2 linked regions of the Coturnix japonica genome follow. The main gene of each other region encodes a partner of the protein of the gene in region 2 in a complex. Links are inferred from orthologs where the notes say so. Each region holds a gene or a part of one and is shown on either strand. Other genes may lie near its edges.

Region 1 (2,913 bases), on a different chromosome or scaffold from region 2:
GGCACGGCTGGACGGACACACCGACGTTACACTCAGCAATGCCACCCCGTTGTCACGCCTGCAGCACCTTGCACACCCACTGCTTGCACGACAGGCTCACGGTGGGGCGTAATGCGACCCACAAGCTGTGAGGACAGTGAGTGTGCGCGCAGCCTGACCCACTTCCAGCCAGCCCCGGGGACACACCGGCACAGGCGCACTGTGTGTGTACGGGTGGATGGACACACAGTGCCCACCCCCAGGCTGGGGTGTCTCTGGCTGGGTGTTCCCATCTAGTAACCCTGTGCAGGTCTTCCCTACACATGTGTGCACATCTGTATGTGTGGCTCTGGGGTTGTTTCCATCCAGGTGTCCCCCCCTAAGTGTCCCCACGTGGGTGTCCCTGTGTGGTCCTTTTCCAGGTGTGGAAAGGGCACTGTCCCTCTCCAGCCATCCATACCAAATGTCTCTGTGCCTGTCCCCATGCAGGTGTGCTGTTTTCTCACTGCCCCCCTGCAGGTGTCCCTTTGTGGCCATTTCTCCAGGTGCTCCCCAGTGTCCCCCCAGCAAGCAGAGTGAGGGGCACAGCCCTGTCCTGACCCCATAAGGGATAAGGAAGGTTTCAGCCTATCCCCGAGGCTGACGTGGGCACAGCAGACACGCCGGGGTGCCCCCATCTCCAGTAGGTTAGTGGGACACCCCCTGACACAGCACCACAGACGGGTTTGGGGGGCCGAGGGAAGCACACAGCTGGCCCAGAGCCTCCAGTTTATTGGTACGATGGGAAGGGGAGTCCGAAGGGAGGGCTCAGGCGGTGCCCGTGCCCTGCTGCATGCGCTTCAGGAGCTCCTCGTCCTGCAGCGACAGCTCCGTCAGCTTCTTGCCCATCCGCTCGTGCACATCCAGGTACTTGGCCACGCAGCGGTCCAGGCACACGCTCTCGCCTTTCGACAGCTCCGCCTCCTTGTAGTGTGGGGGCACGCACTTGAGGTGACACGCCTGCGTCATCCTGAGGGACAACACCGTCACCCCACGGCTCTGCCCGGCACCCCCCACCCCCGGCACCCGCACAGCCCCCGCACAGCCCCCACCCGCGACACCCACGCGCCTCTCGCTCTCCCAGCCCCTCCCTGTCCCGGGCACTACCCCCAGGCCCCGGCCCGTCCCGTCAGGCCGCGCACCGGTTGTACATGTCGGCCATCATGTCCACCTCCAGCTCTGCCGCCAGCTGCTGTGCCCGCAGCGGGTCCATGTCGCTCCCGCACCGCGCTCCCGCAGGATGCACGTGGGACGCGCTTCCGCCCACACGCTCAGGCGCTCCGCCCCGCCGCCGCTCTCGGTCAATAGGAGACGGGTGGGGGCGGGACAACGGCTCGTTCTCAGCGCTGATGGGACGTGGGGAGCGGTGCGGAGCGGGGTGGGCGGGGGCAGGCGATGGAGGGCAGGGATGGATCGGGGCCGGCCCGGCCCACGCGTGACCTCCGCGTGTCCCCGTGGGTCTGCCCTCACGGCTCTGCCCCCTCGTGTCTGTGTCTGCTACGGGTCTATGGCCCCGTGTCCCTCTATGTCAATGTGTCCCCTATGTCCCCCCACAGATCAGGGCACTCTGTGTTCCCTTTGTCACCCTTCTCTCCCATATATGTGTCCCCCGTGTCCCCTCGTGTCCCACGCATCACCCATCTCCTCCATGTGCCGTGTCTCCGTGCCCACTCGTGACCCTCATATCCCCCCGATATCGCCTCCACGTCCCCCCATGTCCTCACGTGCACGCGTCCCCCCGTGTCCGTGTCCCTGTGTCCCCGTTCCATCCCGCAGTCCCCGCTATCCCCAGGCCCCGCCCGGCCTCCTCTCCCCCCCGTCCCGTCCCGTCCCCTCCCCGCTGTGCCCCTCTCCGGCCCCCGACCCGCCCCGTCGGCGCTGACTGAAGGCGGCACCTGCGGCGGTCACACGGCCGCGGGGAGAGCGGAGAGCGGTGAGCCGGGATATGGGGCGCCGGGGGGCTGGGGGGGACGTCGGGGGTTTGGGGTGAGAAACGAGGATAGGACGGGATGGAGGGGGGTCGGGGTTGGGGGTAGGGAGTGAGTTGTGGAGTTGGGACTGAGCTGGAGGAGCTGGGAGGGGGCAGGAGGAAAACATGAATGGGGAATGGGTTGGGTTGGGGTGTGCAGGGGGGAGGGAGGGGTTTGGGGACAGGAGTGGGGGGTGGGGGTTGGGTCGAGGTGGATGGGAAGGGATAAATAATGGGGATGGGATGGGGACTGGGAGCTGTGTTGGGGCCGATGGGGTGGGCGGGCAGGAGGAACGCTGAGGGACAGAAGTGCAATGGGATTGCATGGGGTGGAAGGCACGGTGGATACTTCAGTGACAACCCTGCAGCCCACAGTAGGAGCATGGAGTCCACAACAACCGATGGAGCCCCAACCCCAAATGACACTGCCCTGGGTGACCTCACACAGACATCAACAGGGCCCACAGAGGGGATGGTGGGGGGGGACAGCGGGGAAAGTGCAGCACAGGAAGGGCAGGGGGAGGCTGGGGGGGATGAAGGGGGCGCTGGGGGGGAGAGTGCAGGGGATACGAGGATTGGGGGCGAGGTAGAAGCAGAGAAGAACTGTGGGAGTGAGGCTAAGGGGGAGGCAGTAGGGGATGCTGTGAGTGAGGTCAGCATGGCAGGAGATGCTGGGAGTGAGGCTAAGGGGGAGGATGCAAGGGATGCTGTGGGTGAAGCTAAAGGGGAGGCTGCAAAGGATGCTGAGAGTGAGGCTAAGGGGGACACTGTAAAGGATGCTGTGAGTGAGGCTAAGGGGGAGGCTGCAAAAGATGCTGTGAGTGAGGCTAAGGGGGACACTGTAGAGGATGCTGTGAGTGAGGCTAAGGGGGAAGCTGCAAAGGATGCTGTGAGTGAGGCTAAGGGGGAAGCTGCAAAGGATGCTG
Region 2 (3,822 bases):
ACATACCACGCTTACTATCGCTCCCATATAAATATTAAATTTTTTGATTCCTGTTTAGGAAAACTTCCATTCATCTTCAGAAGTATAGATAGGCTGGGAATGAACTTTGAAAATTAAACCATTACAGTTACATTGCACAGAAAGAAAAAGTTGGAAACAATTCTCCCCAAATAATTTTCTCATTGTGGAGTAAAATTCTGGAACACAGTTATGCCAGAGACTCTTATTCCCATCATCGCTTTTAGGCAAACAAAAACCCGTAGAGTTTTCTTATCCTTCCAAGATGATAATAGTGACTTAATATATGGATGTGGCAATGGACAAATCTCCAGTAACAACTATTGTGATGTTGCAGCCAGGTTACGTGGACTCAATCTTCTCACCCTCAGCCATGCTACAATTCTCAGCAAACCAGGACAAAGCTGCAGCCATACCTCTTGTACTGTGCCATCTCCTCCTGCAATAATGATCAGATCTGTGTTTTCCATCAGTTCCATCAGTTTTTTTGCTTGTCCTTCATAATCAGTCTGAAGAAACAGAAATTCAAACATGAGAACCCAGGTGATTATTTCTAGGATAGATACATAAATGTGTGTGCTTTTAATATACAGAAGAGAAAAAGAGTAATCTACCATTTTGTTTAACAGTTATTTTCACATAAGCACATCGTACTGTACGTCTCTTATATAACATTCTCTTAAATTTCTTCAACTTAAGAAACCAGTCCTTTGCCTAATACAATGTAAAAAAATAAACACACACACGGCCTAATGAGGCTTTCACTCAGCAGATTTAGAATATCCAGCAATAATCAAATTTGCAGACAGTTTTACATTTAAATAAACCCACAAACAAACCACTCTTGCAGAAAAAAGCCTCTTTAGAGGCCAAAGTGATTGAGTGCATCTCCTGAAGCACAGAAACAGCTATATCAAGGGCTGCTGCCCAACAGCAGGCTAGGAAAGCTGCTAAAAACCAGTTTAGCATTAAGTTCTATGCTCGCTTTCTAAGTAGCAAACTGCTTTCTGCAGAATGAATGCTTTTTGCAAGGACATTTCAGACCCAGTAGTGGCATAGCTCTGTTTCACTCCCTTTCCAGATCTGAAGTTACAAAGCATTAGTTCTAATTCTTTTTCTCTTAAGCTGGACTATGTGTTTTCAATGATCAAAGAGAGGCATTAATAAAACAGCATCTTAACACTAAACAGAAGCTTAAGAAAAATATTCCAAGACAGAAATATATATATTGCAAGACATAGTGAGTACTAAACAATCCACATATTACAGCCTCAAAAACATGCAAAGAGACAGGAATCCCTTTATGTTTACTTTTTCCAAAGAAACCCCCTCAGCTAAGTCAAGCCATTTACAGCTCAGCGTTCTGCTTCCATGAATTATCTGGGGATACACTGACAAATTTTAAGGGTAAAAACACAAACTTATTTTTGATTAACTTGAAGAGTTCCACTGCACATCAAAGCTCCTCGCTTCTGCATTCTGCAAGATGAAACAGAACTGACCATTTCAGCAGCAACAGCCACGTACCACTAACCAGCACTCAAGTACCGAGAGAAGAAAGCAAAGAAGACACTATATTCCTATTCACAGAACCTATCAGTTCTCACCGTAACTATATTTACATCCAAGCCAGACAGGTGCAAAATTGGAGCAGCATTCTTCTCAAAAAGGTTCCTGGCTTTGCTAGAAGAAAATAAAAAAGGAAAAACAGACATCAGACGGGTGGCAAAAGAAAAAAACAAAAGAAAAGTAATAACTGAATAATGACAAGAAACATAGTTAAAAACAGAGCATACAGTTTATCGGTCACTCAGCCTGCCAGCCAAAGCCATTTGTCATTTGTTTCAAATGTATTATATTTCATAGTCCTATCTGATCTGACAGCTTTTTGTTGCAGTTTTAATACATGCAGGAGGTTATCTGGCTTCCTCCAAAATTAGTTTCAAAAGTCAAAACAAGATCTCCAGAAAGAAAGTTACTGAAAAACTTATCTGATCTTCTTCTGGTACAGGATTTGTGCACGTTAATGCTTGTAACTCCATGGTAAAAGAATGATTTGTTAACTATAAATTACTTAGAAGTAGAAATATGAGAGATTTAAATTTAAAGTTGGAGGCTTTGATTTATTAACATCGGGCATTTTTTAGTCATAGGTGTTTGTTGTAAAGGCACACAATTCCAAACACTTCTATAACAGATATGCCATCCCTATGGTATCTGTACTGAACCCCCCAGAGGTGCAGCTGAGAAGAAGCCGAGCTGATGAGCAGAATCAGACATGCATCATATCCAAGATAACTTTTTTTTTACTAATGAGTATACAAAAGCAGCAGCTGACCTCTTCCAGGAGTCTTGCTCTGAACCCATATTTAGCCTCCAAGTTTGTGGGCACATCCCTTTAAAGGACATGTTCCTACAGAAGTCAGATCACTGAGGCTAACGTCAACTCTGAAAGAAATCAAGGCCAACTTTCTATGGTTTTTGAGGTAAACATGCCACATACAAAGGGATGTGGAGAAATGACAAAGACTCAAATGCAGGATAAAGTATTTGGAAATCATTCTTTCAACTTGAGCATCTAATTCTGTTTATCATCCCAACATCTTCAGTGATACATACTTTGGCATAGTTAAGCAGCAGCAGCTTGGCATCAGAGGGGGACAAAAACGAGCTCAAAAATTGGCCAGTTTTTATAGTGAATGGCACTTAGATGTACAAAAAGGAGAGCAGGGGAGGGGGAATTTTACCCTTTGCAAGCTGCTGGATTGAGGAACACTGTTGCTTTCTTCAAAGGCATATTGGAAGGAATCAGTTCGTTGCCAAAAACCTGAACAAGAGAAAAAGAGCACAGTTCCGTTTAAGAACGTTGGTAAGGGAGCTCAAATTAATTAAAATTTTTATCTTGAAGAAGGTGGACACGGTGCACAAAACACTGTAGATTTTAGTGATCATCAGCTGCTTGAACTCAAAAGGACTTTCTCTCACCAACTTTGTTCAGGAAGCCTCTGCCATAGAAACATTCCAACTTCGCCAAGGAAGTTGCTGTGAGCAAACAAATGGTCAAAGAAATGGCAACAAACCAACCGTTCTGTAGTTTCACTCCCAAAACAGGTAAAAGAATGATTCTGTATTTTACCACAGTTGTTAGAGGAGCAGGATTGGGAAAGATACGACATATCACAGCTGTTAGAAAGGATTATTTACTTGGAAGAGCGCAATGTGATGCATTTGCCTGCTCTAAACAACCTGAACAGGCTCATAAAAATGTACAAGTATTGGCATGACTGTTTCTTTATGTAATAGATGAGGACATTTATGTTACATATGGGGGCACTTCCAAAGCAAATTCTGATTTTCAAGACAGGTAATAGAAAAAATAATCATGCAACATCCTTTTAAGTTTTGCGATGTCAACTTAAGGCCGGAGATTAAAAATGATTATTGAATAGATAAGAAGGTATAATTTCAGAAAGGCAATATCCTTTTCAGCTCCTTGTTAAATGCATAAATCCAGGCACTGCATTTCTGGACTTCTAGGATGAAACTCACTACTTTGCGATTATGAAAAACCCATTCTATGAGGCTTAACAATGCTTTATGAATGCAGAGACGTGATGTGCCTTTACAAGAAACTATCCCCACTTGACAGACTAACCAGTTTGCCACATAAGCATCATCTATTTAATACATGCCCAGAGCTCAGTAACATCAGCCAGAGCCCACATCTGTGAAGTCCAAAGTCAGCTGACACTGGTTTATTCAAGAGAAGGAGGTGTAAGAGGTTTTCAGTTTTGTAAATGGGTT

Evidence for each region.
Region 1: the proteins of AGK (region 2) and TIMM10 are in contact, whole or in part, in a cryo-EM structure (PDB 7CGP), measured with the Homo sapiens proteins. The link is inferred for Coturnix japonica from reciprocal best matches to the Homo sapiens genes AGK and TIMM10. Residues at the interface, in NP_060708.1 of Homo sapiens: Phe49, Gly50, Asn51, Gln52, Leu53, Ile54, Pro55, Pro56, Val60, Ser91, Gly92, Met93, Asp94, Val95; in NP_036588.1 of Homo sapiens: Glu40, Glu42, Leu43, Ser44, Lys45, Gly46, Ser48, Arg53.

What each region holds. Positions count from the first base shown.
Region 1 is NC_029520.1:7,775,066-7,777,978, forward strand, and holds TIMM10 (mitochondrial import inner membrane translocase subunit Tim10), read right to left. Parts: upstream 1,300-2,913; 5' UTR 1,232-1,299; coding exon 1,161-1,231; intron 989-1,160; coding exon 787-988; 3' UTR 700-786; downstream 1-699. Other genes in the region: SMTNL1 (smoothelin-like protein 1), read left to right, coding at 2,259-2,913.
Region 2 is NC_029516.1:55,072,307-55,076,128, forward strand, and holds part of AGK (acylglycerol kinase, mitochondrial), read right to left. Parts: intron 2,846-3,822; coding exon 2,766-2,845; intron 1,702-2,765; coding exon 1,626-1,701; intron 528-1,625; coding exon 435-527; intron 1-434. UniProt on the Homo sapiens protein: Lipid kinase that can phosphorylate both monoacylglycerol and diacylglycerol to form lysophosphatidic acid (LPA) and phosphatidic acid (PA), respectively. Does not phosphorylate sphingosine. Phosphorylates ceramide.